4 linked regions of the Alligator mississippiensis genome follow. The protein of the gene in region 2 interacts with the protein of the main gene of each other region in a pairwise test. Links are inferred from orthologs where the notes say so. Each region holds a gene or a part of one and is shown on either strand. Other genes may lie near its edges. The genes, in order: SNX11, ARL6IP1, NDRG4 and GAD2.

Region 1 (7,122 bases), on a different chromosome or scaffold from region 2:
GAAGCAGACCAAGAAGCAGTTTTAAACATGCATGATACACAGCAGGAGACATGACCTTGTTCCCAGTAACAGCAGCTCCTGGACAAATCTGGATAATTGAGGTTTTGCTAAAGGCTGATCATCACACCACTGCTGTGGGCTGATTACACCATGGCAGGTTCAAGTTTGCACTGCAATAAAATAGGGGGAAGGGGGAAAATAAACCCTACCATAACAACACTTCATTGCACACACAATTCACGCCTCCCCACCAGGGAGAGGATGCGAGAGAACGAACCACACGCGGCACATTAGTCACGTCACTTAATGCAATAATGGAAGACGCTCAGATACTGTGGTGATGTGTGTGGGATAAGCACTTATACAGAATAGCATCAGCAGAGAGGTTGACCATTATGTTCCCTCTTCTCCCTAGAGAGGCACTGTTGATGCTGTTGCTTTTAAACTGCTTTCTTTGTGCGACAGCCCTGGTGGCTCAGTGAGATTAAAGACACAGAAGGGGGAAAAAAGAGAATCAGCCCATGCTAAGTGAAATGGCACATAATTGGTAGGAAAAGGAATTTAATTTTCCAGCAACCAAATGAGTCTTACAAAGAAAAACAGCAGTGGGGACACATGGCATAAGAGGCAACCAGAACATGCACCCTAATCAGCTGGGAGCCAGAGATGCGAGAAACAGGATCAAGACAAATAATTAGGTGGAAGAGATGAAAGAGGCAGAGAGAAAAAGGGGAGACCTGTAGACAGCACTCATCATAACCTAGTGTATTCCATACCCAGGGAGGTTCCTGTGGTACTGTGCAGAGCCCTTCCCTATTATTTTTTTTAAATTCCATAATTTCTCTGAAATCCCTCATTAAGACTCTAATGCCTGACAGTGTTGAAGGATGTACTGCTGTCTGGCCTTCCCTAGGAGGTTAAATAGATAAACAACTAAGTGAGGCACATAAGCCGCATCTACACTATCAGACATACAGTGTAGAGTTCTTAGTGCCCCCACCTTCCACTGACTAGATTCCAAATACTCAGAAATAATTATTTTAAAACAAGGATGTCACAAGTTAGACCCACCTATGCCTATATTGCATAGGAACTGATTTGTGCCACAACAGGAGATGGCCAATCTAAGAATTGTTAGAAAGGTACACATTCATTTACCTAAACCTCCACTGAATTAAAAGTTAATTTTTTAAATCCAGTAGCCATCCTGCTTTTACTTGCTCTTTTTAATATCTCTGCCAGACTGGACAATGGTAAGTAAAGAAAAGAAAAAAAAAAAATCAATGAAGTTTTGCTTTTGCTTGCTGTCAGTATTGCTTTAAGTCATTTGGTGCTGCAGTGTATCACTCATAAGCTGCCAGAGTTTGGTTACTGGTTTAAAAAAAAAAAACAAAAAACAAAACAAAAACTGGTAAAGAAGTTTGCTTGTGTCATTTAACTACATCTCTATTCAAAGCTGCACCAGGTTATTCTTAATCCAACTCCAGTTTCATTTGTATCAATTTATTTTACAATGGCAACAAGTCAACTTAAACCAAACCAAATAACTTGAAGTTAACTTGAACAGTAATACCAAATAAGATGGTATTTAACATTTTTCCCTAGAATCCTACATATGCAAGTATCTTAGCATTTATTTATTCTTTTAGAGACTTTCTCCATCTTCTAAGGAAGAAACAAACCTTGAAAGCTTCAGCTGTAAATGCACAAAAACCAGAATCCAAAACCATAATACTTATTCTGTCCAAGCCTCATGAACTGTAAATCTGATTTCATGACTGATTTCTGATGCTCAGTGCTAAGATATGTACACTTCAGTCCATAGCTGTATCAGTTTTCAAAGCCATTTCAAATCCTATTAGTACAGCCTTGAACTTAAGAGAAGGCCTTTATGTCATTTTTGGCATATATAAAGGCAACCTGACTTCACCCCGACAGAAAAGAGGGGCCCTGCCTCTCCCCTTTAAAAAATATAACATGAAAACATGTACATTTCCATGCAAACATGGAAATACCAGGTTTTGTTTTATTTTGCTAGAAAACTTTCCACATGACTCAGAAATACATCCCCAGCCGCACTCACATCCCTTCCTTAATCAACGGGGCAGATGTCAAACATGCTTCCCTCCTCAGTGTCTGTTGGACAAACAGTCCAAAACCTTGCAGGGGGAAGGGTTTTAGACGGTTTTAATGTGAAATTACCACCAGCTGCATCCCCCCCACACCTACTTGCTGCTCACAGACCTCATACTGGCTTATGGACTTTTATGCCAAAAGCCCCATCCGTGCCACCTGCTGCACTGCTGTGCTGATGGCAGACAGCTTCCCTCAGGGTTTCACTTCCCTGGTGAGCTGAGATCTCATAGCTCCCCTCACCAGAGGCCCTACTAAGGGAGACAAAAAGTCCAGGTGGCTAGTTTTTAGGGAAAATACCGTTTTGCAGCCAAGAAAGGGGAACAAGCCTACTCCATTCCTCCTGCGGCTTGTCACTTTTGGGGCAACTGATCTGCTCTGGATGCCCTTTGCCACATAGCAGGTGCCAGGGAGACTCCTTCGCCCCTGTGTTTTGCCTCTCCCCCCACTTCTAGCAATGCACAGTCCAGAGCTGGACCCCACCCAACCGAACCCATTGAGACACCCAAGACCACGTCCTCCGATAGAGACCCCCATCCACTGGCTCCGCACAGGCGCTTGGGCTCCTTGGCCCCCAAGCTGCAGTGCTGGGCGCCGCTGACAGCCCAGCTCCAGCTGGCTCCGTGCGATCAACACGCCCCAAGGAGTCGATGAACTGAAGGTGCCGCCTGAATAGGGGCCTCCCTGGCGCAGGCAAGGAGCAGCAATCTCCCCAGCCACTGCCCAGACAGCTGCCTGAGGTGTGCCGGGTGCCCTCCCGCCATGCACCCCACAAAGACCCTACCTCTTCCCGCAAGACACTCCGGTGACACGGCCCCTTTAAGCAGAAGAGGCGGCGCCGCCTGGGCCCTTATAGCAGAGGTCACGTGAGACTCCTTCCTTTTAGGGCGCGGGGCAGCATGGGAAATGTAGTTCTGCTTAGGAGAGAGGACTCCACCTCTTCCTCCAGCCCCCGGGGGCCTTGCACAGTGGGAGGGAGGGAGAGAGGGAGGGGGATGCAGTGGATAAGGAAAGTACTTTTGCATTTGCAAGCTTGGCTAAGAGTCCCAGTTATGCAATTGGTCTGGTAAAAGATGCTACCCAAAGAAAGCTTTGTCTCTCCTAGATAAAAGAAAGAAGATAAGGGGATGCATGGAGGGGGGGAATACTCAGAGCAAAGTGCCCAGAGGAGAGGTGGAAGCCACCTCAGTTCTGGATCTTTCCTGGGTCCCTGTGCAAGGCTTTGTGGGACATGGGCAATACTAGCAGCCCCACCATTTTGTGGCACAAATTGTGACACTGGGTGGTTTTGTCAAAGCCCCACTCCAGGGTTAGGGGATTGAGACTCTGGCATTAATTTAAGTAAATAAATAAATCAAGTGTTTAGCCCTCATCTTTGCAAAAACAAGCTGGCACATGGGACCAGGGGCACTATAAAGACTCAAGAACTAGCCTCAAATGGATCATCATCATTATAATAAAGTTTTTTATGACCTGGATCATAATTTCCTTAATGTTTGGGATGGGCAATACTGTAATGCTCTGATGGTATTAATGGCTGTTAGCAAGCAAAGTTTGTTATCTAGAGAAAGAGTATCAGACACACCCCATGGGCCAAATTTGACTCACACCACCAGGCTTTCATTTGGCCTGCAGGGTTCCTTGGAAGGGCTGGAAATTTGGGAGCAGAGCCCATCACCAAATTTTGGGGTAAGAGGCCCTGCTGGGGGGGGTGTTACTGTGCTAATCCCTACAGGTCACTGAGCCAATGCTGGGGCTCATGAACCCATGGCAGCCACTGCTTGCACCACCACTAGATTTGGGTCCTGATCTAGCCAGTGACGACCCTGCAGTCTGGAAATCGCCCATGAAGAGGCCTAGGGAGCTAGGGAGACCAAGGGAGTTTGATTTAGAGCTAATCACAGAACTCACTGAAGTCAAAAAAGTGTGTTAACCACACTCCTTTAGAGTTTGCTGTTTTTAAACACCCATGTGGCAGGATAGCTGAAGAGGATACCATCCAAGGCACTGGGCTGCATGGCAAAGGCTGAGCAGGATTCAGCTGTGTGGCCTTAGAGGATTTCCTAGGACTAATTGCAAACACTAGGGTTTGAGGAGAGAGTGATTGCAGAAGCAAAAAGTCAAGAAAGAGCAAGCAAAAGGCTAGCACACAGCGAAAGAAGTTGTGAGAGTAACCCCAAGAGAGAGGAGGGACACGAGCTCCTTGGGATACAGAACTGGCTGGAAAGCCAGGCTTGGAAACTGTGAGACTTTGCTGTGGTCTGTTTCTGCCATGTTCAGGGAAATATGCTGCCTTCCTTCTTTGTGAATATTCAGGATTGAACCAAAAAAATACTTGACTCAGAGAATTGGGTTTTTTTTTTTCTCTTAATGAAAACCATCTGGAAAGACCCTGAATATGGGCAAAGGACAAAATGCTTACATAAGTCTGCAGAGAGCAGAGGAACACCTGTATGAGCAGCGTTTTGTCCTGGTATGAGCAGCTTCTTGTTCTGATATTTTGGAGATGGTGAGTTTAAGGTTGGGGGGAATCAAACTCATCCATCCTCCTGGGGCCAATCCATTGGTTTCATCCAGAACCTAGCAGGGGCAAATCCAGAGAGGGTACAGTAATGCAGATGGGGGTTGTCAACCCCTGAGGTATAGTAATACAGATCCATCCCCCCTTTGATTCCTCCTCCATCCAAACTAAAAGCCAACTGCCTGGGATTAATTTAATGGCTCATTACCTTCTTCCTGATACCTGATAATTGCTCTCCACTCCACAGGTGTTAAAAACTGCTATCCATTTTAATGGTCCTGATGTCAAACTTCCCTTGCTTCTGCTGATGTCGATGTCTGTTAGCCATTCCTGGTAATCTCTCTCTCTTATTTCACAGCCCTGCCCTGCAGTCTGTTTTTAGCTCTAACTGAAAACCTTAGCTCATGTTTCATAGTTGGTAGGGTCAGAAGGGACCTGAGCATATCACCAAGTCTGACCCCCTACCATGGGCAGGAATGAATGCTGGGGTCAAACAACCCCAGCTAGGTGATTATCTAGCCTCCTTTTGAAGACCCCCAGGGTAGGAGCCAGCACCACTTCCCTTGGAAGTTGGTTCCAGATCCTAGCCGCCCTGACTGTGAAGTAGTGCCTCCTGATATCTAGCCTGAATCTACTCTCAGTCAATTTATGGCCATTATTCCTTGTTACTCCCTGTAGTGCTCAGGGGAACAGGGACTCTCCCATGGCCTGCTGGTCCCCCTTGGCCAGTTTGTAGACAGCCACTAGATCCCCTCTCAGCCTCCTCTTGTGGAGGCTGAACAGGTTCAGGTCCTGCAGTCTCCCTCGTAGGGCCTGCTTTGCTGCCCCCTGATCATGCGAGTGGCCCTCCTCTGGACCCTCTCCATGCTGTCCACATCCCTCCTGAAGTGCAACACCCAGAACTGGACACAGTACTCCAACTGCGGCCTGACCCATGTCGCATAGAGGGAGAGGATCACCTCCTTGGACCTGCTCGTGATGCATCTGTGGATGCATGACAAGGTGCAGTTGGCCTTCCTGACTGCGTCCCCACATTGGAGGCCCATGTTCATTTTGGAATCAATGACACCAAGATCCTTTTCTGTCTCTGTGCTGATAAGAAGGGAATTCCCCAGCTTGTAGGTATGCTGCTGGTTCTTCCTCCCCAGGTTCAGTACCTTGCACTTGTCAGTACTGAATCCCATCCTGTTCTCATCTGCCCACCCCTGTAACCTGTCTAGATCTAGTTGCAGCCTGTCCCTCTCTTTCAGCGTGCCCACTTCTGCCCACATTTTAATGTCATCCGCAAATTTGAACAAAGTGCTTTTCACCCCCTTGTCCAAGTCACTGATGAAGATGTTGAACAGTGCGGGCCCGAGGACTGAGCCGTGGGGGACCCCACTGCCCACATCCTTCCAGGGAAAAAGACCCATCTACCACCACTCTCTGGGTGTGGCCCTACAGCCAATTGGCGACCCATTTGACTGTGTAGGCATCGATGCCAAAGTCACCTAATTTCTTAATAAGAATGGGGTGAGAGACAGTGTCAAAGGCCTTCCTAAAGTCCAGAAAGACTTCGTCTACCATGACACCTGCGTCCAAGAATTTTGTGACCTGGTCATAGAAGGCCACCAGGTTGGTCTGACAGGACCTGCCTCTAATGAACCCATGTTGGTTGCCCCTAAGCATGATCTCCCCTGCTGGTCCCTCGCAGATGTGCTCCTAGATAATTTTCTCAAATACCTTCTCCAGGACCGAGGTAAGACTAACGGGCCTGTAGTTTCCTGGGTCCTCCTTCCTCCCTTTTTTGAAAATGGGGACCACATTGGCCCTTTTCCAGTCCTCCGGCACCTCACCAGAACACCATGAGTGCTCGTAAAGCTGTGCCAGGAGTCCTGCAATGACCTCTGCTTATTTCCTCAGCACTCTGGGGTGGAGATCATCAGGACCTGCTGACTTGAACACATCTAGACCCACCAGAAGTTTCCTGACTAGGTCCTCACTGACCCTGGGGCTGGCAGCACCTCCCCTGGGTCCCTCGGGGATCCCAGTGGGGGGGATGCCCCGGTCCCTGCTCAAGAAGATGGAGGCAAAGAAATTGTTAAAGAGGTTAGTTTTGTCATCTGGTGTGACCACCAGATTTCCTAGCGTATCCTGCAGAGGCCCTACGTTACCCGTTACCTTCTTTTTTACCCTCTATTTAAAACAGGACTGCTCATTGTTCTTGATCTGGGTCACTAGTCCCAGTTCCATCTCCGCCTTAGCCATCCTAACAGCCCCCCTACAATCTCGGGCAATGGAGGTATAATCCTCCTTGGTGATGGCCCCTCGCTTCCATTGGGTGTACACCTCCTTTTTAGTTCTGAGATGTTCCTGGATGCTTTTGGTGAGCCATGGGGGCTTTTGAGCACTGCTGCCCCCTTTGATCCATGTGAGGATTGTCACCCTTTGGGCTTGGAGGATCGTCTACTTCAGGAATGACCACTCTT
Region 2 (7,836 bases):
AAAAAGCTAGAGCAACAGCAACTCATAAAGGACATTTTTAACAACCAAGGTCAGAAAGGATAAATAAAAGGATCAGTGAAACATGCAATCACTGCTGGCCTCAGAGCAAGAGGTCTTGTGCACCCTCCTGTTACTACTGCTCTTACAAAAAAATCTTAGACCTTACTGTCTATATTAAGCAAGAGATACTGGAGCAAAACTTTCCCAGGTGGTATTTTTAAGGAGAAAGCTTCAGTTGATTTTCTGGCAAAAATAATGCAGACTACTTACAGGAAAGCAAAGGTAACAGTACCCATTACTGCAAGTGGAAACCATACTTTTTCCCAACGAAGGATTTTGTCAGTTACCAGAATTACTTCTCCCCATCCTTGTAACTGCTCTTCCAAGCTGGCAGTCTCTGCAGCCTGCATAAAAAGACATTTAAAGTTGTCACTAATTAGAAAGTCACATGGGTACTTACATATGAATTATTTACTACATGCACTAAATTTTTCATTAAGTATTTGTGCTTGCAAAGCCACACTAAAATAAATTATTCTTCTATAGGTACAGGACACAGTCAATCCTTTTCAGTTAAATGTTCTTCCACCAGTTTTTCCTCAGTCATACAACTTGGCACTGTAACTCTGTGGTTTTAATGAAGACAGTAAGGTTAAGATTTTCACAGCAGATTATGTAGTAACATGTCCTCCAAGATAAGGTGTCTTTAGATCTCCTAAGCTATTCTGCATCCCAACCTGAAGCTCATCCCTTCAGAAAAAGAAAGGGAGGGAGGAAGACTTTTGTTTGGGAGATTAACTAGTCTGCCAATCATAAGATTCTCCAGCATAGAGAAAGCATTTGTAAGGAATTCAAAGTGTCCTCTTTTTTAAAAACTAAAACTGAATTCAAGTCCCCCACCCTATCCAGTATTTAGTACATGTATTTTACTGCCCTTACATCCAGTCCGTTTCACTGCTTCTCACTCCATTTTGAGTTAGACAAAAAGCAGAAAAACCTATTTGGAATTTTTTTAATAGTGGGAAAAAAAAAAAAAAAAATCAAAGAATTAAAACACACATTTCCAAGAGTAGCACCCAAAAGTACTTGGGTACACTAGTACAATGTACTTAGTACATTTATTTATGAGATACCATAAACTGAACAATTTTTGGCTTGCATTCTTTTAAATTATATGTATGAATGACAAAAGGTGATGTTAACTCAGAAATGGTCAAAAATAGAAAAAAAAAAAGGTAGTTTCACATCTGACTAGTCACACGGCAATCCAACTTAAAAAAAATGCCTACGCCAGCCTCTTTACCGTTGCCTCAGGTCATATGTAACACATTAAATATAGCTGATAAGCTTGCTGTCCATGGGGAAAATAGGAAAGATTGCTGGTATCACAAAAAGGGACTATTTTCCTAGGGAGAGGGAAGGTAGAAATAACTTAAAACAAAAAACCCAAAGTAGTCAGTGTAAAATCTGCATGTGATGATCAAAACCTAGATGCAATTATCAGATCAGTTATATCTATATGTCCTGCCCTATCTACCTTCCACATTAAAGATAACTGTACCAACAATAAGTATATCTACTTCACACTTTCTAGAAATAGCCTCAATTTCTCATTTTCCAAACTAGGAGACAAAAGCCTGCTGTCAACAGACAAGTCTATGTTTGTGTTACTTCAGTATCTGGGGCCACCAGCAATCACTCAGAAAAGGGAACTCATCTTAAGTTACCCATTACACAAGAGGCACTTTAGCAGGACAAAGGTTAGAATACAGCTGTCAGGAATAACAGCCTGACTTCTGCCAGCACACAAAGCAGGTAGCAAGTGTACTTGTTCTCCCATGCAAATAGGCAGAGAACAGGTGCCAACTCCTCCTGTCCATCACCTCCTCAACCTTCATTCAAATGCTTGCCCCTCCCAAGCCTTCTCTCCCATTAAGTCAGGCAATTTCAGCCACCTCCCCTCCCTAGCCCAGGTATTGTAGTTATGCCGCATGCAGCACCTCCCAGCTTCCAAGAGACCCTTTCTAGCCGAGTGCCTGAGTCTCACTCTCATCTGCTGCTGCTTCCTCCTTTCTACTACTTTTTCAAAGCTCCTTCTAGGAGCTTCTTTCAGCTCTCAACACCGTTTGAGTGCCTCACTTTTCAAAAACAAGGAACTGGAAGGGACCTCCTGGGCCATCAAGTCCAATCTGAAACTGCAGACAAAATATCACTCCTTTCGTTCCTCAATGTCACCCTTCAAAGCCGCCCTCCCCCTTCCTCCCACGATTATTTCTGCTACTACCTCTGACTCCCCAGCCCTCATTTTCAGTTCCTGCCTGAACCTGTGTTTAAAGCCATCTGCGTATTCCCCACTTCGTCCAGAGCAAGGCCCCTACACCTGGCTGTTTCAAGCCTTCCTGTCTCTCCGAAGCAAAAGCATAAAAACCCTGGAGTGAGAAGAGGTGCACCTTACAGACTAACTGAATCAGAGATGCCACAGGCTTATGTGAGACAGGGGTGGAGATGGAGCTGCAGTGTCAGCTGCTCTGTCCCGAATCCAGACTAAGGAGAAAGCAGCCCAGCCCTTTAGGGGAGACACAGAGCCTGGGGCAGGGGCCAAGCCAAGCGCTAGGAGTCGAAAGCCGAGAGGAGAAAGCGCAGAGCCCGATGTGGGGCGGGGAGGCAGCCGGGCCCCAAGCCGCAGAGGCCTCCCCGCTGCCTAGGGGAAGGGCAAGGGCGCACCAGGGCACGGGCCCAGGGGAGCCGAGCCAGGGGAGAGCGAAGGCGCGGGCCATTGCTGCGGCACAGCCCGGGGAGACTGCGGCGCAGGAGCTGGGGTAGGCCTCGCCCGGCTCGGGTGCAGCAGCTGAGGGCGAGGAGGAGAACGGAGGCGGAAGCAGCCCCGCCCGGCCCGGCCGCTCACCAGCTGGTTGGTGCTCTTGTTGTCTCCGTCCGCCATCTTGTGCGGGTCCGCACGCTCCCACCAGCCAAACACTGCGCCCGCCCCAGCTAGCTGCTCGCCGAGCACTGCGCCGGGTTGGCGGCGCCGCCCTTTATGGACACGGCGTGGGGGCGGGGTCCGCTGAAGTCTACGCAACGATTGGTCGACTTGAACGAGTGGCCGGACCAATCCCAGAGCGTCGCTATTTGAAAGCGGGCAGCTGCCAATCGGGGCGTGGCTCTCTTCTGTCTGCGCCTCTGCCCTGGGGCGGTGTCAACGGCCAACTGTCTCGGTCTCGAGCGACGAGCGCGGGGGGCGGGGCCACAGCCTCGTTCCAGTGCGGCCCACGGCCCGAGCTCCTCCCCCCGCGACACTTGCCCCCGCGTGTTCGCCTGGTCTGAACAAATATACACGTACGTGTACACACACACACACACACACACACACACACATATATGTATATGGATAGATAGATCATTTTAATAATTAAAAAAAAGTGTGTCTCCCAAAGCTTGCACAGAACAATTTTTCCAACTTTTCAGTGGGTCTAATAAAAAACCTCCCATTTACTCAGAGAGTCTCGTCTGCCCGTGCCCTCAGACCAACGACCGACAGTCTGCTAATCTTCCGTGCCCCGGGAAGGAGGGGAAGCCAGGAGCAGCCTGTTGCCGTCCGGTGCTGCCCTGCATCCATGTCTGCTCGCGCCTGTTGTCTTTCCCCGCGGCGCCGGGGCCCTCGCGGCATCGTGGCCCTCGCCCAGCGCACGCGGTTCAGAGCAGGTCCCGCTGTGCCTCAGCTCCTTAGCTTAACGAGTGGTGCCCCATCTCCGGCCACATCAGTGTTAATTGCTGCTTCCCTGACGCCAAATGGCCGGGCCTGCGGGCTGGATGCCGTGCCACGGCGCACCGGACGGGGCTGGCACGCAGGGTTGGGCCGACACGCCAGACCCCAGCCTGACACCCGCGCCAGCATCTGGCCCACAGGGCTGAAAGGTTGGGCGGCCCCAGGCAGCCCCGATGAACGCCTGGCCCGGTAAGACGCTGCAGCACTAGAGAGGCAATCTGCATGGAGGATGCATCTTGTGAATTATACCTCCTGTGAGGTTAAAAAACCCCTGCAGTTAAACAAGCAACTTTAAGGCTCCCTCCTTTGAGTGCACGGTGGTTGATGGGGCTCCCACATAGATACCAGTGTTGTGACTAAAACAGTCGATGGTCACCTTGGCTGTCAACAGCAAGAGTCCTATTTAAACAAGGATGAGAGGATAGCCATATAAGTGTACAATCTGAAGCCTTTCCCAGACAGCAAGGTCCTGCGAATGTGGACTGCTACCATATTCACCTATCCTACCTATGCTGAATATGGTGTTACTTATATTCTGGTCGTACCTGGGATCCTTAAATATGGACGTGGACCACAGTATATTAACTGCTCGATGTTTTTCAAGCAGGGGAAAACAGTGCTGGATCTCTACTGAAATAGGCTCTATAATGGCTGCAGGAATCTGACTCAGCAAGTTCACTGCATGTTATATGCTTAGAGACGCATTTTAATAATCTCTGTGAGACTGTTGCCTAACTTTCTATCCTATTAGCAAAGACAGTCTAGGTATGTTCCCATAGGATTTTGTCCTGTTAAAGTAACCAGACCCTTCCTACCACCAGTGTATGAAGTACAAAGTTCGCACTGTGGTCAGTGAAGAAAACTGGGAAATGAATACATAGGTTCACATACACCTCGTACAACTCAGGACAGGAATTTGTGCAGAGTGCTGTGTGAGATCCTGTCTTCAAAACAGCACCGTGGAAGGGGATCAGCTCTGAGAACCTGAATCTTACACTTGGAGGAGATGTAATATTGAGGAACAAAAAGGCCTCTTCCCTGACTCTTAGAATAGAGAACAGGTCGCTAAGGGCTCAAGGCACAAACTAGCAATACTGATAATATTATATAGATTCCCCAGATAGAGATCCCTCTCAAATTGGGAGAGGGGGAACACACGAATGGAAGCCTTAGGGAATCAAATTGCTGTAGAAGTTACATGCAGCCATGAAAAAGGTGATGTAGAGGTAATTCCTGAATGCAGGCATCTCTCATCACTATTTCTGGGAGGTCCGTTGCAGAGAAAGGTGTTCTCTTGCACACCTGACTGAAGAAAAGACACCTTAAGGGGCTATGCACATCATGTCCATGAGGTGCCTGCTGAATAGACACACTGGGCACATCCAGAAGAGCGTGCACGTGAATTTTCCCGGGAAGAAAATAGCAGTGACACAGTTGCGCTGCTGCTGCTTGTCCCTGGGGAGCGCCTGTGCACGCATGCTGTGGCAGGCAGCAAGTTGCCCTGGCTGAGGTAAGGGAGGCTGGGGCCAGCACCTGGACTCATCCCAGCAGCCTTACCTGGGGTCCCATGGGCCTCCAGGGGCTGCAGTCGCGCCAATCCAGCAGCAGGGAGGCTGGGCTGGCAGCCAGAGTGTGGCTCCAGCCAGTTAGGCTCCAGTTTCGGGTGGTGCATGCTGCCACCACATGCACCACTCTGCTTTTTTTAGGTGCAGGGTTTTTTTGTCACTGGGATCTCTCAGTGTCAGAATCCCTCCCCTCTGCCCATGCTGCAAATTAGCCGTGCAGCGAATACCTGCATGTATGGCGCTGCAGAAGAATCTGCAGCACCAGATACTGCACATGCTCATTCACCTGGATTTCGACTGATTTAAACTACCTTTGCCTACGTGCATGTGCTAAGCCTGGGAAACCATTACGTAGGCGTCAAAGGCCGCATTCCAAAAGCTGAACCATGCTCTTACTGATGTTACTGGGTGAAGTAGAAATAGGTTGGTGAGAGATTCGTTATACATTGGATTTTTTCTTGTGGAAGATAAGATCTTACTAACTTGTAATCTAAAATGCCCCTATGAACACTGGCACATGAACAACTGGTGCCTCCCAAGACTGGGGGGCACCATGGCAGCAAGCAGGGACCGTCAGTGGCGGGGGGTGGCACTGCCGGTTGTGTCAGCAGCAAGGTGGGGGTGGGCAGGTGCAGGCAGCAACTACCCGCAGAAGCCAACAGTGGCTTCGGCAGTGGCCAATTTCAGGAGGGTACATGCCCCCACATGCCCCTCCTACACATTACCTGTGGAACTGCACTTTTCCCCATTGACTTAGATGCCTCAGCTGGCAAAGTGCCTTAGCTTTACATGAATGAAACCGGTCAGCTGCTGAGGTGAGTGGGATTGCACCTTAAGTGAGCTGCCACAACTGCCCCTACATCGAGAGCCTATTGTAGTTGTTAATCTTTTCTAACAACAGCCCCCTGCCACTTGTCACTCACCTATCATAGACCCAGGAGTCCCAGGGACTGGGAAGGTTGTGGAGTTTTGTCATCTGCATAATCTCATAGAACTGAGATGAAGAGCCTATGCCCTGAGGAAAGGGCACTGTTTTACCACTATTGGCCTGGATACAGTAACCACTTGTTTTTTTTCCATGATAGCACTAGTATAGAGAAGGGAGAGAAGGGACTGGAGCAGGCTACCACCTCATAGACAGCAGTAGGGATGATAGGAAACATTGTAAAAGTGCAACCTTGTCTGCACTCAGCTGCAGAGCTTTGCACAATATTCTTTAAACAGGAAATATACACAAAATAAGATAAAAATCCCCACAACACAACATGAAGCATCAGGAGCATGTTGTATCTATGTTTCTGTCCCTCAGAAGAACAGTAGCACTTTGTAGATGTTATTCAAAACACTCAGGAAACCTGCCCAGCTCCTTCTCCTATCCATTCATGAGGCTGTCTCCCTTAGTTTCACGAAGGTTGTGCCAAAATGGCAAGGAGCTTTCAATAAAAGGTAGATGTTTCTCATCAGCCTCCAGCTCCCAACATCAGATTTCTTCCTTTACCCCTCAAGTACTAAATGACTGTAGACAAGTACTAAATGACTGCGCAGTAACTGGAGTACCTGTGCAGTAGTGCTGCCAAATGGCTTTTAGGTGATGCCAACTGCACAGTAGCTCATTACTACTGCACAGTAGCATCATGTCACACTTTGTGCCACGTGACATTACTGCACAGTAGTAGCAAGCTACTGAACAGTTAGTGTCTCATGTAGACACAGCCAGGGCGTAGTTAAACACTTCCTCCTGAGCCTTTCCAGACCACCTTATATAACTAATGGTGCAGTTCCCATAGTCAGCAATCAGGCCTTGCCTCACCATAGAAAATTCTAATCTGTTGGTGAACTCCTAGGTCTAGTGCAAAAACCAACACTTTGGGATCCCCTGACCTGCACTACCCATTACTGCTTAGGAGACAATACCTCCTTGATAAAGTACTCACCTGTTACAACAGATCCAGCAGCTGATCTACCAACATCAAGATTGGTAGCTATAGCCTGGTAGCAGTCATGGATGGCCATCTTCCAAAGAGTTCTCCGTACAGAGAATTCACATGTATTGTTCTGTTGCTGCAGCTCCATGCACTGAACAGGTTTAATGGGTTTTGGTCATCAGAAGCCTGCAACATTATCCTATCCCATTACCTAATACTAGTTGGCTGAGTCACAAAAGTGGCAGGTGATTGAAGCTGCTTTAGATCAGAATCTAGAAGTGCCTGTTCTGTTTCATGCTCCTCAGGGGCTCTTATTAATTACCCCAGTTGTGAAGATATTGCATAAACATTAGATATGCTTGCAAGAGCTAGTTTATGTTCATTACTGTGTAGACAGGATCTGTTGGCAATACTTCCTTTATATTGTAAGACCGTATTTTTAAAGCCCTCCTACCTTGCATCATAGGAACAGTTAGAGGATGAAACAAGAGGAACCACAAGAATTTTCTTTGATAACAAGCCTTGGAATCCCGCTGCCTTCCAGTCAAAATCCTATAATGGTGTAGCACAACATGCTTCA
Region 3 (7,780 bases), on a different chromosome or scaffold from region 2:
ACATTGCAGCCACCTGTGGGCAGTCATCGTGCCCCACCTCCAGCCTCTGGGGGCACACATCATTCATGCCGGAGTGTCACGTATATCAGCATCCCCATGCTAAAAAACGGCAGCAGGGCTGCTTTAACTAAAGCTCATCAAATTAGTTTTAGTTAAAGTGCTTCCGTGGCCATTTTTCAGTGAGGGAATGCTGATAAACGTGATGCTGGAATCGGCTGGAGCACAGTAATTACCACACTCCAGCAGACTCAATCGCAATTACAGTGCATCAGAGCAGCCTGACTACATGTGTGTAGGCGCCTATAGAGATTAAAGCCATAGGAGTGCTAGCTACTTGACCAGGTATAAATCTGAGGGTTAAATACATTGTGTATGTTTCCATGTTCTCTTAGGAGTTCTCACCCATAAGTGAAGATTAATGCCACTACGGATACCAAGCTATTATCTGTTCTGTTCAGACTGAATTAAAATTAAAAGGGGCTGCCAGTCAACATGCCGTTGACACACAAAGTATTAAAATAGATGAGTGATGAGGCACCAAGTATGGAAATAAATGCTTGTGTCAACACTTCATGTCTCATCAGCCATTTATTTCAATTCAGTGGAGCTGGATGGTGAGAATAATGGCAGGTCCTAGACAAAGCTATTAACTGTTGCTGCTGTTGTAAATTAATATACTCTGTAGCCTTCGGGTTCCCCCACCACAGGGACGTATGTTTGTAATTTAAAGACATTATGAAGTAAATCGGTATTTTAGCAACTTTGCTGGCCTGCTAAAGAGAGAGCAGGCTGAAGCTTGCAGCTTTTGTCTTAGTACTCTTTAACACAACTGCAAAAGGTTGTGGTTTGAGTTCTGGGCTTCTTATGACAAGGGTGCCTTGCTTTCATCTCAGCTGCCCTAGGTGTAAATTCAGGATAGCAACAGTGCAGGCAGCATGGTTCTTCCAGACTTACACCCATGTACAGGGGATCACAAGCTGGTTCACAGAACACAAAGGAGCTCAGGGGTAACTGAGCGAAGTATCAGCTCACTGCAACCACATGACATGGGGGTGCATGTCAACACCTGCATTTATGGTCATACCAGCTATGCAAAAAAAATGTTACTGCAACATTAAGGGAGAGCCTTGGACTGCCTATGAGCAAGAACCAATGTGGGGGAATGGGATAGATTGAATTCTCTATCACTTTCATTTTTTAAATCAAGACTGAGCATGCAGGAACATTTAGAAGCCAAGGTTTCCATTGCAACTGAATCTCAGTTCCTTGTACCCATGTAATTTTATTCTGTGGGCCATTCAAGAATTTTTATGTATGCCATTGGCTTCAGTGTCAGACCTGGAGCTCCCATTGACACTAGTGGGAGTTGAAGATGTTGGCCCTACTGTCAGTAGAGTTAGTTGTCTGTCTCTGGGTATGTCTGTGTTGCTTCTGTAGCACTTCTGACAGTGCTGCCGAGAAACCGGCCCCTTACCAACTTGTTTCCACTCCCAAGATCCCTGCCTCTGACAGAGGCAGTTCAGGGTGAATTCAGGGCAGCTTCCCTGGCTCACTTCTGGGATTGGCCTGTGCAGAGGGAGTGGGTGAGGCATGCTTCTTTGCTGTGCTCTCAAGAGCACCATGGAAGTGGGATAGACCTGCTCCATGGAAAGCTCCTTGGGAGCTTTATGTCTTATCAGAGGTGCAGATGCCCATCCTGGGAATGCTCCGCCAACATGCAGCAAGCATCACTGCAGCAGCCCTATTCCACACATACTCATAAGGCAGAACTTGCAGGTCTCAACTGTAATATGGCTCTTCCCATAGTGTAGGTCTCTTGCCTAGAACTTCTTGGGTGCTCAGGGGAAGTGCACCCGATTCATTTTACAGTAAAACCTCAGCTTACAGGTACCAGCAAATAAATAAGACATGTGCAACTCCCATATCAATCACTGTCTGTCTATGACTTGTGTGCCTGGTGTGTACTGCGAAAAAAACAAATATTTTAACCCATACTGGAAATTCCTGTTGAAAATAGTCAACTGGTCATAGCTGACTGCTGGATTCTGGCTGCTAGTCTTGTGTATCAAGACCTTTGTGCCAGCAGAAATCATAGGATCAGAGGAAAGTAGGGCTGGAAGGGACCTCATGAGGTCATCTAGCCTAGCCCCTGCTCAGGCTAGATGAGCAAGGGCTAGATGAACAGGGGCTGACCTCAACCAAAGGTCTGTGTATAGAAACACAGAGCCCCAGTAAGATGAAAGGATCAACCTGCATATCACTCCTTGCAGGGTCAGGGCTGAACCAGGGCTAGTGGACACCAGCAGGGACCAGCAGGATGGCTTTTCAAAAAATGTTGAATGGTTTTTAATGAGTCCTGGGAGAAATTTCCTCTATGGAACGTGTTGTCATGCATGAAGTTTGAAGCTTGGAATTGGACTCATTTGAAAGTTAGTGAAGGCTCAGAGAAATCAAAAGCTGAGCTTATTTCCCAATGTGTGAAAAATTCATTTCTTAAAAATAAAATAAAGTCCTAACACTTTGGTTAGCTAAAAAAAGGACGGTTGGTGTGTGTGTGGAGGGGGGGGTTAAATTGTGTTCCTAAAAAGGGTTACTTGTGGGATGAGAAGTGGCATGACACATCTGAGACTGAACGAGAGAAAAAGGATCTGAGAAGTCTGTAGGAGCCTGAAGAGAAAGGCTGAGAAGAGTCTGCTCTTCATCTCAGGGCAAGCTAGACAGATCAAAAAAGGAGCAGGCAATACTGGGAAGCCAGGGCAAGTTTACAGCGGTGAGTAAGAAATGAGGCATTTCCATATCTGAGTCAGCATCAGGGAAGCAATGACCATCCTCTGCCAGCCACTCCTCATGCAGAATATAGTAGGGCCATATAAGACTTCATGAGTGTCACCATCCTACATGGCACGGTCAGGGACCTAGGCTGGTGGTTGCTACGTGGAGCCATCTCCAAGGGTGTGCACCTGGCATGCTTCACAGACACTCCTGACACCTGCTCTGACAACAGAGGACAACCCTGGCGCACGCTTACCTTGAATGCGCCAGGCTACAGCCCCTCCGCTGCCTCCTCAGGAAGCTCCACCTGAGGTGGCCACGCTTCTCCCTGCACCTTTCCTTTTATGCAGTCCCCATCTGTGGCCCCACCAGGTTCCAGGATCTCCTGGTCAACCTCCTCTCAGCTCTGGCCAAGCTATCTCAACAGGAGGGAGGCTGCAGCCAGAGGAGGGGACCTGGGCAACTGTGGGGCCTTTCTGTGTCCCTGATCCGTGCATGTCCCTGGGCAGTTTCACTGGGCTGTGTCCACAGGCTCCTCCGCATTGCTGGGGGGGCTGGCTGGCGTGCTCTGTGTGCCCTTGGAGCACTCCCTGTAAACCTGTGACCTGCTCCTGTCCCCATTTTCTCTTTAGCTGTCCCAGGCAATCAGTTGTCAGGCCTCTACTGGCCTCCCTCCTTTGGGGAGGCTTCTAGTTCCCCGGTGGGCCTAGGCCCCGCTTCTCTGGGCCCAACGAGCAGGCCTGCAGGGCGCCTCTCCCAGGACAATGCTCGGAGCAAGGCAGCCAGCGCGGTGGCACCGGGGGGGGGGGGGGGGGGGCTGGGCGCTGTGACCCTCACCCGCGGCGCCCCCCGGCGGGAAGCGAGAAGCCAGACTCCGGGACCAGCACCTGCGCGGGCCCGGGCGGGCGGTGCCCCAGCTTGGCCTGGCGCCTGCTCCCTGCGGAGACCCCAGCACCAGGACGCCCCGCACTGCGTCGGGCTCAGCCGCGGGCCTGGCTGTGCCCCCGCTGGGGGCCGACGACAGCCCCAACCCCGCCATTCCCTCTCGGGCCCGGCTCTGCCGCCAGCCTGCCGCAGTGTGCTGGTGCATCTCCCGTTAAACGCAGCCAGCGCAGCCTCCCCCTGGCCGCCAGCCGCAGCCGCAGCCTCAGCCCCGAGCCAGACAATAGCCCCCACGTGGATCGCCTCGCACCGCGGCTCCGCCGCCCCCTCCCCGCGCCAGCCCAGCCCAGCCCAGCCCAGCCGCGCCCGGGGAAGGCGCGGGCCGAGGTGCTGCTCCTCCGCTGGGGGCGGGCTGGGGCACTGCTGCCGCTGGGGACGGAGCAGCTGCGGAGGAGGCGGCGGCGGCGCAGCTCGAGGAGCGGAGGGAGCCCGAGCCCCCCCGGCGTGGCACTGATCCGGTGAGTCGAGCACGGCCCCCGCCCCCCAGCGCTAGCGGGCGGTGCCGGGCTCCCGCCGCAGCCGCCCCCCACGGGGACCCCCCGATGCTGCCTGCACCAGCCCCAGGAGACTGGAAGGGAGGGCGGTGACCTGATCCCGGCTGGGCCCTGGTTCGTTTTCTGTAGCAAGGCAAAACCTAGGTCCGCTCCCCTGCCCTCGCCCCCCATGGCCTGCATGCGGGGTCGGGTAGCCCTGGGGCTTGGGGGCTGCCCCGCTTCCCCGGGGGCCTGGTGCTGCGTGCCCGACAGCAACCCCCTCCCGCTTTGCAGATATGACAGGTGGCGAGCAGGGGGGTTGCTCTTTTGTCTGAGCAGCCGTGAGGGCTGCTGTGTTGTCTGGGCACCTGCAGCCCATCTGTGCCCCGATTCACCCAGCCTCGCCCTGCCAGGCTCCCGGGCGGGGGCAGGGTGGGTGGCTTATTTGTGCAATGTAAGATTTGGGGGGGGTTCTCTCCTGAAAGCGCATGAAGCTCCTACCTATCTGCATTGAACACTCATGCTCCACACACGCGCACACACATACACACACACACACAACATGCTGCTCTTCCCACTCCAGCCCAGCTCTCTGTCTCATTCCTGAGCCAAGCTTGCTTGGAACTGAGCCTGCCTCTGAGGACTGTGCCCATCTCTCCCCAGTGGATTTATCCTGCTTGTCTTTTTTCAAGAGCTTTTCTTTCTCTCTTGCCATTGGCACCCATTCTGGAGAGGATACAGAGCAGAATGAAGGTTCTGGGACATAAAATAGAATTATTAACAGGTAAAATACGCGGGTGGAATTTGCATGCATTTCCCAGGGAGCCACTCTGGTTGTCGTATGGATGGCCAAGTTTACAAGCTGGAGTCTGGTGGGTTTCCCTGTTTCTATCCCAAAAAAGGCTCCTTGTTTCATGCCACTAGTGCAGTGGCACAGTTACTTTGGGCATGAGACTGCTTTGATTGGAGTTGTGGGGCAAGTCTCAAGCTGCTGACTTCAACCAGAGCTGGTCCAGGGGTGAGGGCTGGGGTGGGATTATGCCCTTTGGCTTTATGGAACAGCATAACAATGTGGGGAGAAGTTCTTGTTTATTGAATGCTATATGGAAGGGGATGAGATGGGACATCTAGCTATTAAGAGCCTCCACTAATTCACTTTTTCTTTCCTTGCTCTCTAATCTCTTCCATTTAATTAGTTATTTCATATTTATATAATACTTGGAAATGGAAAGTGCCCTGTTAAATTGGATTTAGGTGGGTTACTTCTCATGGACAAGCCAGTTTCCTTGTATCCTGTCAGCTGGAAGCAGCTTTCTTGGCATATCTACCCCACCTGGTTCAGTAATTTCCCTGGTGCCAGAGAGGCTCAAGGAATAAACGAGGGGACCAGTGCTCAGCTTGAGAGGCTGCCGATATGTGACGCAGGCAGCTTCCTCCTCCCCCACAGGACCAGCTGTCTCTCCCAAGCCCTGTCTGTTGGGATGTGTGTGGAGGTCAGCACCACACACTGCATCTGGGCTTCTTAGGCAGGATGCAGCTCTGTAGAGTGACAGTGATCCATAGTCGCTGCCGGTGGGGACTGGGGTCCTGATGGGTCCTTTTTCTATTCTGCCTTTCCCTGCAGCTGCTGCTAGTAACTGTCTGTGCACTTCCTTGCACACCAAGTCCACATTACCTTGTCAGGGTCCCTGCATTGGAGGGGCTGCACATTTAGGAACCAAACTTGGGATAGGGTGGCATAGGTAAAGAAAAAGGTCTGTACTTAGCCTCAAATGGGCTGGGGGACCGAGTTCACCCAGAACTCCCCACAGTGGTAGAGGGACAGAGTTTGCAAAGCATTTGGCTCTAACCCTCCTGGTACTACAGGACTCTGCAGTAAAGGTCTCCACGGGGTGTTATCTTGGGAGCTGGGGTTGTAGGGGCTTTTTACACTGGGATTGTAAGAAGGGGACCTTGTGAGGCCATTCTTCCATTTGTTAGAGCCAAAGCTGGGGATAAGGGAAGCCTCACCTATAATCGGGGAAAAGGTGTTGTCCACGTGAGCTCTTGAGTACCCGGCTGGCTGCAGTATAACTGAGAGAGAGAGGGGATGGCAGAAGGTGCTGATCCCTGTCAGCCATGCTGCCGGAAATAGGCACTGTCTATTTTTGCTTGCTTGTTCCCAGCCTTCCTGGGCTGCCTGACTGCCTTTTGTTTTCTTTTCCATTCTGAGCTCTGGAGATTAGAAGAGAATAGGTTATGCTTTGCTACAGTTGCAGCCCAGGTAGTCACTCATTAATAAAGGGCCCCTCTACACAGCCAAGGCTACTGTGCCTGGGGATCTCATTAGGACACACTATAGTGTCTTCCCTGATGGGCTCTAACAAGGACTGGTCCTGCATGCACAGATGGGGCCAAACTGTTACACAGGGCTGGAACTTGGAAGGGACCTTCTGGGCTGTTGGTTCCAGTCCCCTGCTGTTGCAGGCACCACACTATATTCCCATTAGGAAAATTTACCAACTTGCCTCTTAAACTAGGTTAGGTTGTTTGCCTCTGCCCATATAAGAAGGTGGTTCCAGAACCTTGCTGAGCTGATGGCTAGAAGCCTTCTAATTCTAAGCCCAAATTTATTCATGGCTGTTTTAGACCATTTGTTTTTGTTTTAGTAGTATCTTTTAGATTAAATCATTCTTTTCCTTCCTTTGCATTTCCCTCCCCCAGTGTATTTACCGAGAACAATTCCATCCCTTCCCGGCCTTCATTTTGCGAGACAGAACAAACCAAGCTCCTTTAGTCTGTTTTATGAGACTGACTTCCCTATCCTCTGGTCCACCAAAGAGTCCCTTTATATACCTATTCTAATCTGGGCTCATCTTTCTTGGATGCTTGGTGATCAGAATTGTGCACTGTGACCCAGATAAGGTCTCGTTAGTGCCTCATACAGAGCTGGGGCAGGTTTCTATAGCCTGTTTCCCACTTCCACAGACCAGAGCAAGCCAGTGCTCAATCTTCTGCCATGCAGAGTAGATACGACAGCACCAGCATGTCCTGTGTTCTAGGTAGGATGGAAGATGCTGCTTCCTTGCTAAGCAGAGTTATGCTCTGGCATTGGCACTGGACATAGGCTAGATGACCTAACCAAAGGACTTCTGGCCTGAGAAGTCCAATACTGAGGTGTTCCCTACAGCCTTCTGCCAGCCTAACCTGGACATTCAGAAATGTGGACCCTGATTGACAGAGCTATTTTAGCAGAAGCCCTTTGCATGGGCAGTTTTGCTAGTATAGCTGTGCTTGCCCTGGTATGGCTTGTTTAACTCATGTGAAGTGGTGTTACTGCGTGGATACAAAATGCTTCTTTGTTGGTGTAATTGTGTCTGCACTAGGAGAATTTGCCAGCTTCAGGGAGTGGGGAAAAGGGTCAAAGGTTTGCCTGAGCCTGGGTGGGAGGCTAACTTAGTTAGGCCATGCTGGTTTCTGCAAGCTGTGACCCACAAAGGAGGGGTGGGGCTGGCACTGTTTGGCCATCATTGACTCTCCAACCTAAATTACATTTATAGGTAGATCTGTAGTGTGCCAGTGTTCCTATGCTAATAGCATGCTCCTATCAGAGG
Region 4 (7,773 bases), on a different chromosome or scaffold from region 2:
GGCCGAAGAGAAAAGAGACAACCGGCTGAGCTCAGGAGTTCAACTATAATGGCTAGTGAAGGGTAAGTAAACAGAAAATAATTGTTGGTAAAATAAAGGTTTTTTTAATTCTGCTTAGAAAATGATGATACATATTTATTTGGATACATTTTCATATAAGACAAAACTATCTGCATTTAAAAGCTGTAAAACAACTCATTTTCATGGAATCTTCTACAATAATAATTCTAGCAATTAGGAAATTTTATGCTTAGCTGAAAATTTCCTTTCTTCGATTTTCAGTCTGTCTGAATTTTGGAACAGAACTCTGCCCAGTCAGTCTACGGTGCACATTTGTCTTACTCGAAAACCTGCCAGTTTTGTTCTGCTTCCACAGCTCCCAATAAGGTGAACACACCTCCTTGCTGTAGAGCCTCAGATCTCAAACTTGCATCAAACTAAAGAAAAACTTGAAAGTTAAATTTCTGGCTCAGTCAGGCTTTAAATTATATGGATATTTGCCAAAATTTTGACTGACTTTCAGAGCTGAGACACCGGATTCTTGGCTTCCTTTTTCCCTATTTTACAAAAACCACGTGCCTTAATAACCTCAGCTTGATGTGAGCATGACGCAGAGAGAAAAGGAAGAAGAAACCTGAAGACAAAACCTAAGATGTGTCTATGTAGAGTTCATAGATAGTGACCTCTGTTGGTCAGAAAAAAATTCTCTTTCACACCCACAAATGTATGCAGATACACAAATATGTATGTGAACAAACGTGAAATATAATCAATAGTAGAAGGATTAAAGAAAATTCTAACGAAACAAACCTATTTATGTAATCTAGAGAGACTGCCTGGTTTAAAAACAAATATATTCAAAACAGTAGTAAAAATGTTTGCAAAGGTGCCTTAAATTCTTTCTTTAATCCTTCTGTTACAAATGATTTTTCATGTTGAATACAGGAGCACCACAATTAGCTTTTTAGAAAGATTTGATGAAAGCATGGAATTTTTTAAAAAGAATCCATGTTATAGTAGCAGTAAGTCACAATATGGTTACAGGCTTAGGAAAATTTTGCATTTCTTGGGTCATTAACTTCACCTAACCTTTGACTTTTTGTTCAAAATATTTCTTGGATATAGTTGGGGGCTTGATTTTGCTTATGTTTAAATCAATGAGCACAGTGGAAGCAGAAACGTGCTTTATAGCATGTTTTCCTCTGGCTGCCATCTTCAGTAGCATATTGAAATAACTGGGGTAATTCTAGACATACCCTGATGCAAGTGAGAGCAGATTTTATCCCCTTGTTACAAGCTTATTACTTTAGCATTAGGTAGAATTCAACATTCAGTGACCATTTCAGCGGAGCTTCTTGTGTGGTTTAATCAATTAGGATATGCCTGTGGAAAAATGAACCCTGTTATTGTTTGCTGGCAGTTTGAATTCAGCAGCAGTTCCCTTCATGCTGCTTCCCAGATATTTCAGTGGTTATTCTGAAATAAGATATGTTTCAAAGCAATCAAGTTTGTTTTGAATCACGTTACAGAGAAATACCTGGTTTCACTTCATATGTTGAGACTTAATGCAACTTTCCATTTGGAAAAAAATAAAATTAGATGGTTCTGTCTGTGATCTTTGCAGTTTTGAGTCTGAAACAATAAAGACTTCAGCATGTATAAAAATTGGGATAGCTCAATGATGTCAGCGAAGCCAGACCAGTTTCCAGCACCTGAGAATCTGGTCCAGTATCTATCCAACAAGAATCGATCCCAAGTTTTGCATGCCGTAACATTTTTATTATGTCTCTACTGATTCCTACTTTATGGAAAAAACATGTTTTCCTGTAATGTTTCACTGTACTGTCTATAATGTGTTGGCTCTGAGGTGCCTCTTTTATTCTACAGAGGGGAAGAGGCCTGGGAAAGGCAGCAGCTTTTGCTGAGGGTGGAAGTTAAGCAGTCGATTAACAGTGTTTGCTGAAGCAAATGTTTTTACTTTAATTTCTAAAGCACTTCTGCACTTAATCCTTAGGTCAAGGGTTGCAGAGAGCCCCCTGGAAGAGAGCAAAAATGAAGATAATCCCTATGACTACAGAAAATTGCTGCGGAAAACCTCTCAGCGCCGGCGCCTTATCCAGCAATTCTAGTTGCTGCTGCCATTTGGCTTTTATTAGCATAATCTTTTTTATGATTTTATACCATATGCTTTCCTTTTTTTTTGTATGGCTATTTCCAATATTTCGCATTTACAGTGTTTTTTTCATTTGAATACAAACTATTTTAATTTGTGGTCCCACCTCCTGTTGAAGGGACACTGTCAAGTTAAAAAAAAAACATATTTAAAAAATAATCCACAGAGTTTCCTTTGCTGATGTTCTTAATCCATTTCAAGATTATAAAACAGGAAAGAATGTTTAAAAAGTAGTTTACTTTCTTTAGCATAGATTGTTTTCTACTTTTGCATTTCTTTCATCTTTAAACTATGTAAATAGACCAGTTAATAACCAGTAAATAGACCAGTCCTTTCCTACTCAGGTTCCCACCCTGACAGAAAATTAATTTAACAAACAGAAGAATGAATTAGCTGCATTGGATTTTTAATTGCATGTAACCATTCGTTTTGGTTTATGCCTTACAATGCCTAAATTATAGAGTAAATCTTCATATAAATTATTCATGGCACAGTATATCCTAAACTTATTTCCTTATCGACTATGTACTGTAAGGCTCTGGGGTGGGGTTAGAGGTCAATATAGTGTGTGTAATCTTTATCTGGGAAATGTTTATATACAGGACAGGACATCTAAGCACAACCTTCTCTCCTGCCCCCTCAGCTCTGTGGATAAACTCCTGAATTTTGTTTGCTTTGTTCTCCTTTCTAAATGGGTATTGTTTTTTGTTCAGGCATTTTAATTTCTGGGTGATGGAGAAATGTCGAGGGAAATAAAAATTGGTCTGTTGCTGCCTCGAAGGTAAAGACCAATTGCAATCAGTTCCACCAGGGTGCAAAGGGAATAGCCACTTCAAAAAAAAAAAAAAAATCCACCCAAAAACCTATTTTACAAGAGGCCTGGCAGAATGGATGGAGATAATTAGTGCATTCACACCCAGGTGGAATTCCAGGTCTGATAATTGCACTCTCCCAGCTGTAAAGGGAGAAAGGCAGACTTCATCAAGCAAACAGTCCCCAGAGGGTGAGGGCCAAATCCCGCTCCCTCGCTCAAGCCAGTCGCCCGGACTGCAGTGACTGCCAGCGGCGTCCAGTTCTGCACGAAGCCCTTTAAAGGGAGACACCGCCGCCCTGGCCCCGCGCGCAGCCAGCCCGGCCGCGCCGCTCGCTGCTCGGGGCAGAGCCCTGCCTGCGGCCGCCTCTCACTCGCGGCAGAGGCGGGTTTGCTCTCGCCGCTCTTCCTCGGGTGTCAGTCTGGAAATCTCTTCCTTCCTCTCTAGCAGTAACGCGGCGGAGTAAATAAAGAAGGACGCGAGTTAATGACACGCCTGTCTGTGTCTGAATTACCCTGGCACAGGTGTAATCCCGGGGGGGAGAAGGAGGGCAGCGATAAGCGGGCAGCTGGTGCTGCTGTGAGCGGGGCGCGGGGAGGGACGCTGCCAGCGCCGGCCCGGCTCCAGGGAGCGGAGCGAGGCCTTTCGCGGAGCCTCTGCCGTCTAGCTTCTGCCCGGCTGCCTCTGCTCCCGCGCACGCCGCCCCGGGCCGCGCCGAGGTGCTCCAGGACACGGGCTGGCTCCGACCGGACGGCGCCGCCAGCCCGAGCCCGGCCCCAGCGTGGGCCAGGCCAGGCGGGCCCGTCGCGCCCCGGGCAGGGAGGCTGGGGCAGGTTGGGAGGCGCGGGCGAAGGAAGCGCACGAAGGCCGCCCGCGGCGCGTGCCAGCACCTCCCGCTCCCCCGCCCCGGGCAGCCCCGCGCGGGAAGCGCCGTCGAGACGCCGGGGCCGGCTCATGGCTGCAAGGGGCCCTGCGCGGGCGCGGCCCCCGGGTGCCTTCCTGCCGGAGCCCTCCTGCGCCTCCCCTCGCGCCGGGCCGGGCCGGGCCGGGCCGGGCCGGGGGCGGGCGGCGGCCGAAGCCCGCGAGCAACCGGGAGTCCGGGGCCCGGTAGCCTGCGTGGCGCTGCCCCGGCCTCGCGGGGCCGACGGGGGAGGCGCCGTGGGGGCCACAACCAGGCTCTCGGGGCCGCGACTGCGGCTGTGGCCTCCCCGCGCTATGAACCGACTCCACCGCAGCCCCTGACGGGGGTCGCCCGCCCGCCGGCACTGCCCGCTGCTGTGTGCCGGGGGCGGGGCCGGGGGCGGGGCTGCTCCCCGCCCCCCCTGCCTGCCGGCGTCGAGGCCGGACCTCCTCCTCCCTTCCCCGCCCCCCCCCCACGCGAGGCGAGGACGTCACTCGGGCACTGCTGTGCCTTCAGTGCCGAGTCCCGCTGTCCTGCGAGGCGGGAGTGACGGGACTCACGTGATCCCGCCACAGACCCCCCTCTCCCCCCGCCCCCGTCGGTCGGTCCCGGCCGCGCTCGAGCCGCCTCCCTCGAGCTTCCTCCCTTCCCGCCCCCGAGGGCCCCAGGGGCTGCCGGGCTGCACGAGCGGCTGCGGAGCGGGACGGATCCCGGAGCACCAGCCTCCTCCGCCCCCTGGAAGGCGCCTCCGAGGGCGGCACGTCCAGCAGCCCCAGGCCCGGCGGGCAGTCGTGCCCGGGCCGCGGCGCCGCGCGGGATAAAGAGGCAGCGGCGCCGCTCGTGTCACTGCCGCTCAGCACCATGGAGAGTGCCTAGCGCCGCCCCGCCCCGCCCCGCCCCGCTCAGCCCTGCTCAGCCCCGTGCCGCGCCGCGGCTGCTCGCGCTCCCGCACGGATGGCGACGCCGAGCTCCGGCTTCTGGTCCTTCGGGGCCGAGGAGGGCTCCGGGGACCCCGAGAACCCGAGCACAGGTAGGGGGCGGCGGGGCCGCGGAGCCCGTGGACGCCTTCCAGCCCGGCCGACGGGAAACTTCCCCGGCGCGGGGATCCGAGCCTTCCCGCTCGCCTCGCGCCTCGCCGCGCACCGGGGCCGCCCAGGTGCAGCTGGACGGTGCCTCGGGCTTCTCCACGACCAGCAGGAGCCGCGCCCGCCTGGCCACGAGTCCCCCCGAGGGGCTTGTCCCTGCGGGCGGGGGGGGGGGTCTTCCCCAGGCGTGGGGGGCAAGGGGAGGGGAAAGGCCTCGAGGCCGCTGCTGGGCACGTTGCCTTTCTTTGTTCTCCGGGAGCTGCAGCCCCGGGCGGGCCGGACGCACCCGAACAGCCCGCGCCCCCGCCGCGCCGCTTCATTTCTCTTGTTTTGCAGCCAGAGCCTGGTGCCAGGCGGCCCAGAAGTTCACAGGAGGAATCGGAACCAAACTCTGTGGTAAGGAAGGAGCTCGCTGTGGCCAGTAGCGGCTAGTCCAAAAAAACCCCAAAATATGTAGGCATTAAAAAGAGAGAAACTGTCGCAGGCCGCGGGACCGGAGAGCCCCTGCGCGCGGGCACAAAGGGAGCAGCGGGGCGCGCGATCGGGGCTGCGTTTGACACACGACATTTCGGCTTCCTCTTTTGTCTCCTCGTTAGCTTTGCTCTATGGGGATGCGGAAAAGCCCATGGAAACCGGTGCAAAGGAGGACCCGGGCTCGGAGGAGAAGCGGCCGGCCTGCACCTGCAACACCAAGCCCTGCAGCTGCCCCAAAGCGGATGTTAATTATGCATTTTTACACTCAACAGGTACCGACCGTCCCCTCGCGCGGGTGCTCCGCGGGGCTAATCCCGGCTGGCCGGGCCAGGAGCAGAGGCCGGCGGAGGGGCTGGCAGGTCCCGGAGCCGCCGGGCTACCGCAGCGCAGCCCCCGGGCTCGGGCGGGCTCTGCACGATCTCGTCCCCGCGCTTAGAGCAGATGGCGCTGCCCGGGTCTGTGAAGAGGAAACATTTTATAACATCAGGATTGAAAAAAAATACCTGCACAGCTTCGCCCCGCGGGCTGCTCTGCCCAAGGACGCAGGCAATAGCGACCTTTTCCTAGAGCGACACCAAGCCCCCGGAATATGATCGCTATTTTTATGCTTTTTTTTTTTTTTTTAATTCGGGAAATTCTCGCCAACGAGTGCATGTCTAGCGGGCCCCTCTGCTCCGGCACGTCCCCCAGCCCCGGGTGGGGATGTGGTACCGAGACCTATTCCCACGCGAGCCGCGGGCTCCGGCCCACCGGCGCGATGAGCTCGTTGCAGGGCTGCAGCCGCCCCGCGCGACAAACAGCTCAGAGCTGACACCGGGCACGAGCCTTAACTAAACGCAGGAGCTGCACTGGTTCATCCCGTTGAAACCCTCCAGTAACGAAAAGGCAGTAAACGATCAACAAGTTCTTTGCCAGCCACCACATTTGACCAGCCCCGAAGAAGGGATTTTATTGTAATGCATGCGTGGGGCTCGCATTTCAGCCCGTCACTGTCAGTGCAGTCCGGGCACACGTCTCAAGGTGAAATGAGAAATGGCAGCGGGCTCGCCTTCCCCGCCGCAGCTGCAGGAGCTCCCACCGGGGCCCGATCCCTCTCCCACCCAGCGCCGCCGCTGACATTTCTCTCTTCCGCTTCCAGATCTCCTGCCCGCCTGCCACGGGGAGGTGGCGACGATGTCTTTCCTACAAGACGTCGTGGACATTTTGCTTCAGTACGTGGCGAAAAGTTTTGACCGATCAACCAAAGTGATTGATTTCCATTACCCAAACGAGCTGCTCCAGGAATACAACTGGGAGCTGGCGGATCAACCGCAGACCTTGGAAGAAATTTTGTTGAACTGCAGAACGACGCTGAAATATGCCATTAAAACAGGTAATGGAGCGGCCGAGATTTCCTCCTCCTGCCTTGACAAACGTTACTTTCTGCCTCGTGCCGAGCCTGAAGCCCGCGCGGTGCCGTGTGAGTGTCCGGCCGTGTCTGGGGGCGAGAGGCTGGCACCGCCGCGACGGGGAGGGCGATCCCGGCGGCTCCGGGGAGCGTCCTCCGGCCCCCGGCGCGCACAGACCCGCTGTGGCTCCGCGCCCGCCCGGGGCCGATCCCGGGCCGCGCAGCCCCTACAAGGACAGGGCTGGGCTCGTGCAGGGCGCGGGACCCGCGGCAGGATCCGGCGCCCTGCAGCCGCCCGGGGCCCTGCGCTCCGTGTCCCGGCTGCGGGCGCGGGGAAGGGCTCGCCGGAGCCCGGGGGCAGGCGGCCGAGCCGCGTGGGGCGTCCCCGGCCTCGCCTCTGCCCCTCTCCGCCCCACGCTGGAGGAACTGGATTGTGACCCCATGGCCAGTCCCTGGACCATGGGGATGGGGAGATGTGGACCGCGTTTCTCTCCTCTACCCCAAGCTTAGTTCAGCGTAGAAAGTCCATGCCCAGCCCCGCCGCGGGGCACAGACCGGCTCCCCCCGCCCAGCTCGGGCCCAGCGCCGCAGACAAGCCCCCGCCCGCAAGGGCACCGGACCCCGGGCTCAGACCTTGGCCGAGCTGCGCTGCAGCCCCCGGGCCGAGCCCGTGTGGGGATCGGAGCCTGGCGGAGCAGCAGAGACTGTTTGCTCCGCTGGGGTCCGTTTCCTGCAGTGGGAGCTGCCCCGGTCTCCTGCCGCCCGGCTAAGTGATGACCCCACGTCCAGGCTGCCCAGGATGCTGCCCGCCGGAGCCGCGCCCTGAAACATCTGCAGCCAGTGGAGACAGCTGTGAAAACAGCTGCATTTTGCTGCTGGGGGAGTCCAGAAGCCGGCTGAGAAGTTGCTCTGACAGAGGAGAAGGGCTTTTAATGGAGCAG

Evidence for each region.
Region 1: the proteins of ARL6IP1 (region 2) and SNX11 interact in binary tests that used the Homo sapiens proteins (3 or more experiments, as listed by UniProt). The two-hybrid records come from large-scale screens. The link is inferred for Alligator mississippiensis from reciprocal best matches to the Homo sapiens genes ARL6IP1 and SNX11.
Region 3: the proteins of ARL6IP1 (region 2) and NDRG4 interact in binary tests that used the Homo sapiens proteins (3 or more experiments, as listed by UniProt). The two-hybrid records come from large-scale screens. The link is inferred for Alligator mississippiensis from reciprocal best matches to the Homo sapiens genes ARL6IP1 and NDRG4.
Region 4: the proteins of ARL6IP1 (region 2) and GAD2 interact in binary tests that used the Homo sapiens proteins (3 or more experiments, as listed by UniProt). The two-hybrid records come from large-scale screens. The link is inferred for Alligator mississippiensis from reciprocal best matches to the Homo sapiens genes ARL6IP1 and GAD2.

Annotation. Positions count from the first base shown.
Region 1 is NC_081827.1:167,758,969-167,766,090, reverse strand, and holds the start of SNX11 (sorting nexin-11), read right to left. Parts: upstream 3,003-7,122; 5' UTR 2,918-3,002; intron 2,869-2,917; exon of another isoform or gene 56-2,868; intron 43-55; exon of another isoform or gene 1-42. UniProt on the Homo sapiens protein: Phosphoinositide-binding protein involved in protein sorting and membrane trafficking in endosomes. Regulates the levels of TRPV3 by promoting its trafficking from the cell membrane to lysosome for degradation.
Region 2 is NC_081836.1:44,689,218-44,697,053, forward strand, and holds the start of ARL6IP1 (ADP-ribosylation factor-like protein 6-interacting protein 1), read right to left. Parts: upstream 3,015-7,836; 5' UTR 2,942-3,014; coding exon 2,906-2,941; intron 405-2,905; coding exon 271-404; intron 1-270. UniProt on the Homo sapiens protein: Positively regulates SLC1A1/EAAC1-mediated glutamate transport by increasing its affinity for glutamate in a PKC activity-dependent manner.
Region 3 is NC_081833.1:38,962,819-38,970,598, forward strand, and holds the start of NDRG4 (protein NDRG4), read left to right. Parts: upstream 1-4,765; 5' UTR 4,766-4,934; coding exon 4,935-4,971; intron 4,972-7,780. UniProt on the Homo sapiens protein: Contributes to the maintenance of intracerebral BDNF levels within the normal range, which is necessary for the preservation of spatial learning and the resistance to neuronal cell death caused by ischemic stress.
Region 4 is NC_081828.1:188,878,140-188,885,912, forward strand, and holds the start of GAD2 (glutamate decarboxylase 2), read left to right. Parts: upstream 1-4,766; 5' UTR 4,767-4,840; coding exon 4,841-4,916; intron 4,917-5,307; coding exon 5,308-5,367; intron 5,368-5,567; coding exon 5,568-5,717; intron 5,718-6,583; coding exon 6,584-6,817; intron 6,818-7,773. Other genes in the region: MYO3A (myosin-IIIa), read left to right, coding at 1-62, 2,015-2,129. UniProt on the Homo sapiens protein: Catalyzes the production of GABA.